Linked DNA regions of Macaca fascicularis. Each later gene encodes a partner of the first gene's protein in a complex. Links are inferred from orthologs where the notes say so. Each region holds a gene or a part of one and is shown on either strand. Other genes may lie near its edges.

Evidence for each region.
Region 2: RBL2 (region 1) and LIN52 share a complex: the UniProt entries of both Homo sapiens proteins name them as parts of the DREAM complex. The link is inferred for Macaca fascicularis from reciprocal best matches to the Homo sapiens genes RBL2 and LIN52.

The regions. Positions count from the first base shown.
Region 1 is NC_088394.1:49,457,060-49,463,283, reverse strand, and holds part of RBL2 (retinoblastoma-like protein 2), read right to left. Parts: coding exon 6,182-6,224; intron 3,149-6,181; coding exon 2,879-3,148; intron 2,678-2,878; coding exon 2,397-2,677; intron 2,310-2,396; coding exon 2,133-2,309; intron 1-2,132. UniProt on the Homo sapiens protein: Key regulator of entry into cell division. Directly involved in heterochromatin formation by maintaining overall chromatin structure and, in particular, that of constitutive heterochromatin by stabilizing histone methylation.
Region 2 is NC_088381.1:142,020,974-142,027,864, reverse strand, and holds the start of LIN52 (protein lin-52 homolog), read right to left. Parts: upstream 3,890-6,891; 5' UTR 3,883-3,889; coding exon 3,852-3,882; intron 1-3,851. Other genes in the region: ALDH6A1 (methylmalonate-semialdehyde/malonate-semialdehyde dehydrogenase [acylating], mitochondrial), read left to right, coding at 4,451-4,504.

The DNA.
Region 1 (6,224 bases):
CCCACATGTTGTCAACGGTCAACTAATTTTCAAGGAGGCCACCAAGGCCATTCAGTGAGGAAAAAAATCTTCTTTTCAATGGTGCTGAGACAACTGCACAGCCACATAATCAGAATGGAAATGGACTACTACCTCATACCATACACAGATTACTCAAATTTGATCAAATACCTAACTATGAGATAAAACCATAAAAATCAAAAGAAAACACAGGGATAAATCTTAGTGACCTTGGATTTGGCAATGGATTCTTAGGACACCCAAAGTGCAAGTAACAAACCAAAAAACAGGTAACTGGACTTCATCAAAATTAAAAACTTTTATGCTTCAAATGACACTACCGAGTAAGTGAAAAGATACACCAAATGGGAGAAAATATTTGCAAATCATATGTCTGAGAAGGTAGTTGTATCCAAAACAAAGAACTCCAACAACTCAATAGTAACACAATTTAAAAATGGGCAAAGGATTTAAAGATATTTCTCCACATAAGATATACAAATGGCCAGTAAGCAAATGAAAAGATGCTTGACATCCTTAAGTCATCAGGCAAATGAAAATCAAAACCACAATGATATACCACCCAATACCTGCTAAGATGGCTATAATAAAAATAAGTTGGCAAGGATACGGAGAAACTGGAACGCTTGTGCATTACTGGTAGCAATGTCAAATGGTGCTGCTTCTGTGGAAAACAGTATGGTGGATTCCTCAAAAAAGTTAAACATAGTATCACCATATGACCCTGCAGTTCCACTGCTAGTAATAAACTCAAAAGGGCTGAAAACAGGCACTCAAACAGGTACATGATATACCTATTCACAACAGCGCTATTCACTATAGCCAACAGGTGGAAACAGCCCAAATATCCATCACTGTATGAGTGGAGAAAAAAATTGTGCCTATCCATACAATGGAATATCATTCAGTCATAAAAAGGAATGAAGTACTGATACATGCTGCAACATAGATAAACCTTGAAAATATTATCCTAAGTAAAAGAAGCCATACACAAGAGGTCACTTATTGTACCATTTCTATAAACGATTAAGAACAGATAAATCCATACAGCCAGAATGCCAATTGCTGATTGCCAGGTGCTGTGGGAGGTAGAATGGGGAGAAACTACTTAACAGGAAAGGAGTTTTACTTTGCAGGTACAGAAATGTTCTGGAACTAGATAGAAGTGGTGAGTATACAACCATTGATTACACTTAGTACTGTAAATGTGCTAAATGCTCCTGAATTGTTCAATTTAAAATAGTTAATTTGGCTGGGCCCGGTGGCTCATGCCTGTAATCCCAGCACTTTGGGAGGCCGAGGTGGGTGGATCACCTGAGGTCAGGAGTTTGAGACCTGCCTGGCCAACATGGTGAAATCCCATCTCTACTAAAAATGCAAAAATTAGCCAGGCGTGCTGGCACATGGCTGTAATCCCAGCTACTCAGGAGGCTACGACAGGAGAATCGCTTGAACCTGGGAGACAGAGGTTGCAGAGAGCTGAGATGCACCACTGCACTCCAGCCTGGGTGACAAGAGTGAAACAGTATCTCAAAAAGCAAACAAACAAAAAAAAACAAAAAAACCCCAGTTAATTTTGTTATGTGAATTTCTCCTCAATAAGTTATTTAAACAAAGTAAGATAATAAGTGTTAATGAGAAAGTGGAGAAACTAAAATCTTTATTATACTGCCTGTGTAAGTGTAAAATGGTACAGTACTTTGGAAAACAGTCTGGCAATTCCCTAACTGGTTAAAACATAGTTAATGTATGACCCAGCAATCCATTACTAGGTATATACCGTAGAGAAATGAAAATATATGTCTATACAAAAACCCAAACACAAATGCTAATAGCAGTATTATGCATATAGCCAAAAGTAGAAACAACTAAAATATGTATTACCTAATAAATGGATAAAAATACTCTCATATAACTATATAATGGAATATTCTGTTTTAAAATTGTGGTGAGTATTGCACATATCTGTGAATATACTAAGACCCTTTTAGTTGTGCATTTTAAATAGATGAATTATAGAGCATGTAAATAGTACTTCAAGAAAGCGGTTAAAAAATGTTCTCAGTAATGAAGACCTATATTTGCCTTTACAGTTCCAAAATGGTACTCACCTTTGCCATCACATAAATGGCACACATTAATAATTGGTCCAGATGTCTGTCCATCATAAGTTCAGGACACTGAATTATGGAGAATTCAAAGCAGGTCCAGATTTTTTTCCTCAGTTCATCTGAAATATCTAGTTTGGCACAGAGATCCCGAAGGCGGACAGCTGCTAAATGGTATACCTAGGAGATAAACAAAAACATTTCAAACTGTGTTTAACACTTGTATTTCCCAAGCTCATGCTCTGGTAAGAGTACGTGAAAAATTACCTTTCTAAAGAAAAGTGATAAAGAGCTGGTTTTCCTGGGTCTATTACTACTGCTGGTTACAGACTGGCCTTGCTTCTGCTGTTGGCCACCTGGGGAAATCTGTTGAATGGCCACTTGACCAGGGACTTGCAAAGTTGTTCCTGTCATCTGTTGAGAGCTCAGACTTCCAGCCAGGGCCTGAGCACTGAGGGGCTGGATGGAGCCTGTCACAGCTTGTGCCTGCCCCCCAACATTGACTTGGACAGGGAAGAATGTTATCCCTCCATTTTCATTGGCAATACCTAGTTTGTGACAGAGAAAAAAGGCATGAAGAAAATGTTGATAATAAGAGGTTCTCCAGGCAGAGGTTTACAATTTCTCCTCTCCCAAACCCTCTCTCCCCATCACTCCTCTGTCCCCTACGTCACTCTAGCCAAACCTCGGGTAACTTTTCAATACACGCCACAGAGAAGGAACTCAATATCCAACTCTGCCTTCCTTACCTTGCACAGGAATGGTTACTGTTTGCCCATTGTTGGCTGTGACAGTGGCGGTTGCCATGGTGACCAAAGTCTGTCCAGGAACCGGTGTGACAGAAACAGGCTCCCCAGATACATTCTGCACAGGGACGGCATTGACTAGAGGCTGTGGGGGCATGCGCCCAGGTGTCCCTCCATCAGAGGGGCTATCATTCTCAACAAATAGCCGCCTTCTGGTAGTGCTGGCTGGTGGGGAGCTGTATCTATCGTATAATGTGGTTGGAGATGTTATGCCTAGGTTCAAAACAAATCAAACAAAGCATTTCACTGAAGGAGACTCAGATCTGACTTTCATCCAAGCTGTTATGTTCAAAAATAACTACAGTGTTTGAAATACTTCATAATTCAAAAAGCAAACAAGAATTACACAAGTCATCTTACCTATATCCATTAGTGAGTTTTCATTAGTGTTCAGTGAACACAACTGAGAGCAAATTTTAAAATGGAATTTTTTGTCTTGCAGTGTTCCTTTCTCCACTCCCCCTTTCCCAAATCAGACCTGACTCTGTCTTCCACTACTGAAGAACCTTCATGATTTAAGGAATTACCCTTTTTTTCTGTACTACATTTTTCTATAATATTTTCTGCCATATTTAGTTTCCACCTACCACTCATGTAAGATGTGATTTTACTATACAGCCACTACTTCTTAAGGGGACATGATTGGTAGTATGTCATCTAGGAGCATTCCGCCACCAGTTTTACCAATTTTGATCTTTGTCTTTTTCCACATATAAAAATTATTAAAACTCAATAATGTTCTTAAGCAAGGTAGACATGCATGATTTGGATTCAATTAAGCATAATTTATTTTTTTAAAACAGTTTATATACCATAAATTTCATCCACTTAAATTGTACAATTCAATGGTTTGGGGTAAACTGCTATGTTTTTTTATTTTTTGAGACATAGACTCTTACTCTATCACCCCGGCTGGAGTGCAGTGGCCTGATCTTGGCTCAATACAACCTCTGCCTCCTGGGTTAAAGTGATTCTTGTGCCTCAGCCTCCTGAGTAACTGGGATTAGAGGCATATGCCACCAGGCATGGCTAATTTTTGTATTTTTAGTAGAGATGGGGTTTCACCATGTTGGCCAGGCTGTTCTCAAACTCCTGACCTCAGGTGATCCACCCGCCTTGGCCTCCCAAAGTGCTGGTATTACAGGCTAGTTTTTTAAAATTGTGGGTTTAAAAAATATATATATAAATATGTATATTTTTATATATAAATATATATATTTGTATATATATTTATAAATATATTTGTATATATATTTATATATATTTATAAATATATATACGTATATATATTTATATATATTTATAAATATATATATGTATATATATTTATATATATTTATAAATATATATACGTATATATATTTATATAACAAAATTTACCATTTCATCCATTTTTAAGTATACGATTCAGTGGTACGATTAAGTGTATGATTCAGTGGTATCAATTACATTTACAATGTGGCCACAACAATCACCACTGTTTGTAAAACTTCTTCATTATCTGAACAACCTATTAAGGCTTAGTCTATTTTTAAGTATTCACAATAATGTATGAATTTTTGAGAAGCATTTCTTCCTTCTTCTGTGTCCACCTCTAAGAGCTGTGCATCAGTGTGTTTTTAAATTTTAAAACATATGTAGGAAGTTTGTAAGAAGTATTGATAGGAGTAAATACTAATAAATTGTGGCTTAACATTTCAATTTCCAGATGATAACAAAAGTAAATAAACTTACTAGATTTGTATTTGATACAACGCTGCAGAATCAGAAAGAATACATTATGATCATTTTTTCTTGTAAAATATCAAGAGATCTCAGGAAAACTGAGAAGTGATAAGTACAAAGAAAATGAAGTTTAAAGTCAAGTCTTCCTAATCTGTAGATTAGGGAAGGGAAAATTCTACAAAAATAGACTAAGAAAGACCAACTGTCAGATCTTTCAAAAATAAGGACTTTTCATAAGGATCATCCATGTCTATTAAGTATACACTGACCTAGAGTGATTTTTGTTTTTTTTGGGGGGGGGTAGAGATGGCATCTTGCTATGTTGCCCAGGATGGTCTTGAACTGCTGGGCTCAAGCGATCCTCCCGACTAGGTGTCCCACAGTGCAGCGGTTACAGGCATGAGCCACCATGCCCAGCCTAGAGTGATTCCTGACTTTAAAACTCGTATTTCTTCTGTAGCCAGTTCTTACCATTTACATTATAAAAGTGATCTAGAAATAAGGATATTCTTTGAATTGGATCCGAGGATTTAGAACTCTCTGGATTTACTGAATTGCTCTTTAAAAAGCAGTTCTCTCTCACATATGTAAACTAAAACCTTTCACCTTGCAGATCTTCTAAGCAGCTGCCTAAAAAATATAAACCAGATGGATAGCAAAACTGCCCTTTTCTGTATTTCTTGGGCCAGCAGTAATGTCATTAACTAGGGTAGCACAGCTCAACACAGTAGAACACACTCAGTTGTCTTAACTCACTGCCTTGTCTATACCTAACTGGATCATGCAGCTCTATCTTTAAGAAGGCTTTTCTATTTCTCCTGATTTTAAAAGTAATACGTATTTGCCTTAAAAATTTTACAGAAATCACCAGGAATTCTATCACCCAACAATGATCTTAACAGTTTGGTTTTTCCATTTCCACCATTTTGCATGCTCATAAATAAACATACACTTTAAAAATAGGGATCATATTAAATATATAGCAGTCGGCCAGGCACAGTGCCTCATGCCTGTAATTCTAGCACTTTGGGAGGCCGAGGCAGGCGGATTGCTTCAAGTCAGGAGTTCGAGGCCAGCCTGGCCAATATGGCAAAACGTCTCTACAAAAATACAAAAAATTAGCTAGGCGTGGTGGCGCATGCCTGTAGTCCCATCTACTCAGGAGGGTGAGGCATGAGAATTGCTTGAACCCGGCAGGCAGAGGTTGCAGTGAGCTGAGATTGGGCTGCTGCACTCTAGCTTGAGCGACAGAGCGAGACTCTGTCTCAAAAGAAAAAAAAAAATTAAATAAATATAGCAGTCTATCGTCTATCCTTTTAAAAGATACCTGTTATATCATGCATTTTCCTGTGTTCTTAAATAGTCTTTAAAGGCCCTTCTTTTAAGTGATTCATGTGACACAAAAATGCATGGAATATTTTCTTCTAATATATACCCTATTAACTTCACTTATAGGGTTAAATAAAATTTAAATTTCCAGATAGTAAGCCCCAAAATATTCCCCTAGTATTTTAAACTTACTCCTTCCAAGACCTCCAGTATCAGCACGAACTTCAGTCACCCT
Region 2 (6,891 bases), on another chromosome or scaffold:
ACCACCACTTCCCTCTTGGACTACTTCAACAGCCTCTTAACAGATCTCTCTGCTCCCATTCTTACCCTTTCCCCTTCACGTCCCCAAATCTATTCTCTATAAAGAGGCCAGAAATGATTTTTTAAAATGTCAATCAGTTCGTGTCACTCTGCAGCTTAAAGTTCCTCCCAGTTAAATCTGTGAATGTGTATCTACCATATTCTATAAAATCTTACTCAGCCTCTGCCTAATTCTTTGACATCATTTCTCTTCCACTCTTCCCTTGCACAGAGTAGTACTCAATATTAACATTCGTTGAGTTTTTATTGTATGCTCAGTATGCTAACCAGTTGCATAACTAGTTCATTTAATGCTATAAACAGCGGTTCTTAACATTTTCTGGGTAAGCCACATCTTTGGAAATCTGGGAAAAAAAATGAACTCACTCCCCAGAAAATACACATATGTACAAAATTTTTCAACATGTACTTTTCTCTAAACTGAATTTGTTTTGCCAAATATCCCAAAGGAATTTCCAATGGCATTTTAATTGTAAAGAACTCAACTAATACACTGCCTTAACTAAAGCATTAAAAATTAGCTTCTCTTTGTTACCAATTTCTGAGGAATGTTCAACCATAACAAAAATAAAGTTATTGGGCCAGGTGCGGTGGCTCGTGTCTGGAATCCCAGTGCTTTGGGAAGCTGAGGCAGGAAGACTGTCTGAGCCCAGGAGTTTGAGACCAGCCTGGGCAACATAGTGAGACTTTATCTCTACAAAAAATAATAAGGCAGGGCACGGTGGCTCACGTCTGTAATCTTAGCACTTTGGGAGGCTGAGGTGAGTGGATCACCTGAGGTCAAGAGTTTGAGACCAGCCTGGGCAATATGGTGAAACCCTGTCTCTACTAAAAATACAAAAATTAGCCAGGTGTGGTGGTGTGTGCCTGTTATCCCAGCTACTGGAGAGGCTGAGGCATGAGAATTACTTGAACCCAGGAGGCAGGGATTGCAGTGACCCGAGATCGTGCCATGGCACTCCAGCCTGGGTGACAGAGTGAGACTCCGTCTCAAAACAAAATAAATAATAATAACAATAAATTAGCTGGGCATGGTGGTGTGAGCCTATAGTACCAGCTACTTGGGAGGTTGAGACGGGAGGATAGCTTGAGCCTTTGAGGGTGCAGTGAGCTATAATCATACCACTGCATTTCAGCATGGGCAATAGAGTGAGAGAGACCCTGTCTCTAAAAGAAAATTTTTAAAAAAATTATTGGGGGTACAATCTAATAACCTACACGGGTGACCTTATGATACCACAGTCTGGGATAGAACTCAGACTCTGCTGTGAGTCTTACTCTCATAAATTAAGTAATTAGATGGCTGTATTTGAATTTCAGTTTTCTCCTTTTCAAAGAAGCTCCAGCAAATTTATCACGAAAAAGACAAAAGAGTAAATGACAAACATTTTCAAGTCAATGTTATCTGAATTAAATTTTAAAGACAGTGACAGGTGGAACACTAAAAATAGAAGTGAGAGAGCTAGGCCATGGAATATTTTGGAATGAGATACTTACTGAGACGTTGAATTTAAGTTCAAAGTGCTTGACTTGATTTTTTCAGATTAAAAGAAAACATTAGGTGGAGAGGAGTAAAACTTTGTAAGAGATGAGAATGAAGACTTTTAAAAATCAAGAGTGCAAATAAAGTGACCATAGGGATGGCTAGAAGACCAAAGGAAAAAAATTTAACATTTTTAATACTCTTCCTGGCCAAAGAAAGGAAACTAAATTGAGAGAAGGCAAGGAAAAAAAAAACCAAACTCAAGGAACACATCTCTAAAATCCCCAAAATTTGTAAAAACAATTTTAAAATAAACTAAAAAATTTAATAACAATTACCTCTATTTCTATCACTTGGCTTTTTAAAAAAATTGTGGTGAAATATACATAAATTTTACCATTTTAATAACTTTTAAGTATAGAGTTCAGTGGTATTAAGTACATTAATTGTGCAATCATCACATTCATTTCCAGAACATTTTCACCTTCCCAAACTGAAATTTGGTACCCATTAACAATAACTCCCTATTCCCTTTTTAAATGCCTTTCTTTCTGGCGAGAGAAGGACATTTTTGCAAGAGAGCACCCAGGAAGGAGAATCTCTTTTGACTCCAAACATCCAAATTTCTTGTTTTTCCTTCTTTTTTTTTTGAGACGGGGTCTCGCTTTGTCACTCAGACTGGAGTGCAGTGACATGAACATGGTTCACTGCAGCCTCCACCCCCAGGCTCAAGTGATTCTCTTGCCTTAGCCCCCCAAGTAGCTGGGACTACAGGTGCACGGCACCACACCCAGATAATTTTTGTATTTTTTTGTAGAGATGGGGTTTCACCATGTTGTCTAGGCTCGTCTTCAACTCCTGAGCTCAGGCAATCTGCCTGCCTCAGCCTCCCAAAGTGCTGGGATTAGAAGTGTGAACCACCACGCCCGGCCATAATTTCTAACACAGTATGTACCTGTGCTCACAAAATTTAAGACTCGGTTAAACGTAAAACTTAAGATCAAGTAATATATTATTTCTGCACATATCTAATCAATCTTTCAATACATGTTAATTAAAGACCTACTGTTCGTCAGGCACTGTGCTAAACCTGGGATCCAGCTATGAACAAGACAAACTTGTAATTTATAATCTAGCGTACAAGGGGCAAAGTTAACATAGTAACTATGCTGACAAGGAAGATACTGAGGCAATGAATAATGGTGGGGAAGGGCAACTCCAGATACTGTGTTCTAAGAAAGACTCTTTGGGAGGTGACATCTAAAAAGAGAACTGAAACTGGAAAAAAAAAAAAAAAAAAAAGTGTGTATGTTTGAGTCATCTTTTGGTCTCCCAAAGCACCTAGCATTATGCCTTTCATGTAGTAGGTACTCAATACAGCTCACCTTGGCTTCAATTTCTTCATTCCTGCAATGAACTTCCAAGATTCCTTCCAAATACAAAATCTGTTTGTCTAAGGGAGGGAAACCTATATATCAATAAAATCGATATATAGTTGGGATGCGGATGGTAGAACTAAAAATGAGTTTAAAAATGACTGCAAGACCCTCTCTAAAGCAGAACCAAAAGCAAAAGCATGGGAGTATACCAAAACAACTTGTTACTTGAGATGACTTGCATTTTACACAACATATAAACAGAAATCGTTCATTCACTCAGCCTTAAGAAACAACACGTAAAGCAGATGAAAGAGCGGTTGCGACCTGTGCAAGACAACACTTAAAAGCTCAATACTCATTCTCCTCGCGACTCTCTCGGCGAGGGGCCGAGAACGTCCCCCGCTTCTCTTGCTGCCACGGCAATGGTCCCAAACTGAGGAGACAGGAGAGAGATCATGTTTCTCTTGCGGTTCACTATCGAGATGGGGTCAGCCAGCAGCCCCTGCGAGGGTTTGAGAATCGTTCCATCTGTGCGCTCAATCAGAAGAGAACTGATCCTTTCAATGGGATACCCCAAGGAGAAAACTACAGTAAGGCACGTCCTCCAGTAACATCTCCTCCTCTACCCTCAGCCTCGCCCAAATAGAGATAAGGAAGGGCCAGGGCGACCCCTGTCCTTTTACCCAGAATGAGTCCCTCCCTAGTGCCCTCCTCCACACGCCTGGTACAGAGCAGGGAAACTGGGCACCTCTGAAGCTGCTGCGAAGAACCGGTGAGCTGAAGACGGCGATGGATCGCAAGAAAAAAAACAAAAGGGAAATGAGAAGAGCCCAAGAAAGAAATGTATGTTCGAGGGGCAGAGACAGAGTGGATGTTCCCCATACAGCAAAGAAGGAGGCTGCAGGCAAACATCCCTAAGCCGGCTCTTACCGTCTGTGGGAGACGCCATCTTCCAACCCATGTCACGTGACGTGGCCAACCGTCGGCGGGAAAACGAGGATCCATAAGCCACGCCCCCAAAGAGAAACCCTATCCCCAACTCGCAGCCACGTCTCATTCCCTCGCCTCATAGGGCAATCTTCGCCCAGCCCCTCCCCTCATCATAGCCACGCCCCTTATGCAGTTGTTGAGGTGGAGCGACAGCAAAATTCTTGGAGGGTCTTATTTACTTTGCTCAGTGAAGGGGTGGGGCCTCGGTTGCGTCCTTGGCCAATCGGAGTTCCAGGTTAGGGGGGCGTCTCCTCCGTGTGCTCAGTATGGAGTGTCCAAGTCGGGGGCGTCTTCTCTACCTCCGCCAACGGCATTGGCTGAGGTAGGAGAGGGTGCGAGCATTTTCGCTCCTGACCAATCACTTATCCCCAGGACTGGGGTGTGAGAGGAGGAATCAGGTGTTAGGACGAGTGATTGGCTGAAGAAAATAGTCCTCCCCACCAATGAGGAAGCCCGGCAGGATGGAGGGCGAGGCCTGGCAGCTGTAGTGCGTCTGAGCTGTAGAGGAGCGGGTTGCGGAGCTAGGGCGGCCGAGAGCCATGGCGGCGGTAGTGGCGGCGGCGGCGGCGGTAGTGCGAGCCAGGATCCTGCAGGCGAGTGAGGGTGGCGCCAAGGCACCATGAAGCTAGGAATTGGATCCTTTCCGTCCACTCCCTGAGCCGTCCTCGGGCGGGACCACCTTCTTGGCCCAACCCCTTTTTGGCCGGACCTCCTACCTAACCTGTGGGCCCTGTCCCATGCCCAGCCCTCACTTCATACCCTCCCTCGTCCCGGATCCAACCCTGGGCTGTTACCCTTGGCCCTCTACCCTTTTACTCCTAAGCCTCCTCTTTTCTGGCTCTCGCCCACTCTCCTTCTCCAGCTCTGCCCGCTCCCTGCTGTCAGTCTCTTGCCCTCATCTCTCCATCCGCCCACCGTCTTTCCCTTTCACCTCTGCACCAGCGTTCTCTCTATCCCCCAGAAACTACTCTTTTTGGTTATTCTGTCCCCTGCCTTGAGTGTCCACGTTGCCATTGCTCCCTTCCCCCACCCTACTTCACTGTCCGTGGTGATCCGAGGTAAGAGGGAGGGGGAACGTGAGGGGCGAGGGTCAGTGTATGAACTTTGAATTTTCTTCTAGAAGTGGACTCTAGATTTTCACCAAAGGCAGCCATTTACCGAATTATTTTCCCTAAGTGTGGCTCTTTGTATTTTCCATAGACTGGCTGTCCCCTTTCTTGCCAAAACTTTCAGTGAAACTTTCAGCCAAGTTAAACAGTTTACATAGATAGGGCACATGTACATAGGGTAGATAAGGGCACACAGTTAACGCTACCAGTATGTTCCATGTACGTTCAAGGTACTAAACATTTTCAAAACAGGTGATAGAAAGTGGGAGCCAGGTAAGACAAGAAGTCTAAGTTCCCACCCCAAATCAGCTCTTCTAGTGCCACACACCCTCATCTCTGCACTTGGGGGATTGAGTCCTTTCTGAAGCCAACCTAAGGAGAAATGGTAAAGCTACAGGAGTTGCATGCCTGAGGCCTGTAATCTCCAACTCTATAGTCTTTCCCCTGTTCATGGCCTACCAAGGATTTAGAGTATGAGGCAAGATTTACTGCAGGCAAGAAACAATCAGCAAGAAACAACAGTGCCCTTCTTATTCATTACATCCAGTCTGAGAATTTCCTCTGTATTGCTGCGCTTTTAGGTAATATTAGTATTCACCAGGTTTCCGTGAGTTCTAGTACAGAAACTTGGGCATTTTCAAGATTCTTGGCAGAGTCAGCAAAGATTCACGTTTAAATATGCTATTTAATGGGGACGGTAGAAAGGATGAGTTTGAAGGGTTTGTCAGATGGTCTGGCCTCACTCATATTTCTTGCTGTGATCCTTGTTCTGTTCTAGTATCTTTTTTTAGTAGCAGGAAAACAAAGTTTCCACCCTATATTTTTCTTACCAACTTCTTGAAATCTTTTACTGAAATTGGTTTTTTTCCTTTGCCTCCTCTTCCCCTCCCATCACAATGAGTCATTGAGAACCTTAAGAAAGTATTTTGTTCTTTTCCATCAAGGAGAAGAATCTCTCTTTCCTTGTACTTTATTTCAGAAACAGACACTATGTATTTTCTGATTCATTTGGAGAAACTTCTGAAGTGACCTAGAAAAGAACAAATAGAGTAATCCTCAGCCAACTAGGAGTTGTAACATGAAACTTTGATTAAAAGTTTGATAAAAAGTAGCCTAGAGGCCAGGCACTGTAGCTCCTGCCTGTAATCCCAGCACTTTGGGAGGCCAAGGTGGGTGGATCACCTGAGGTCAGGAGTTGGAGACCAGCCAGACCAACATGGTAAAACCCCTTCTCTACTAAAAATACAAAAATTAGCCGGGTGTCAGGCGACTGTAATCCCAGCTACTCAGGAAGTTGAGGCAGGAGAATCACTTGAACCCGGGAGGCAGAGATTGCAGTGAGCTGAGATTGTGCCATTGCACTATATCCTGGGTGACAGAGCAAGACTCCGTCTTAAAAAAAAAACAAAACAAAAAAAAAAAACCCTCGATTTTGGCAGCCATGAATATTAGAGAACTATCAAAAGGATTTATAGAGAGTTCACGTTTTCAATTATTTTAAGTATTCAGCTTATTTTTCTCTGCTATGAAGAGTAGTCAAACTTAACCTAAAACCTCTTTCTGCTCCTTGTGATATTATCACTCCCATTCAGAGATAAAGGAATGTTTGAGACAGGGTCTCGCTCTGTCACCCAGGCTGGAGTGCAGTGGTGCAATCACAACTGACAGCAGCCTCGACCTCCCACGCTGAAGTGATTCTTCCACCTCAGCCCTCCAAGTAGCTGCGACAACAGGTCGTGCCCCCATGCCAGCTAATTTTTGTATCTTTTGTAGAGACAGGGTTTCACCATGTTGCCCAGGCTGGTCTTGAACTCTTAAACTCAAGCAATCCTCCCACCTCAGCCTCCCAAAGTGTTGGGACTACAGACATG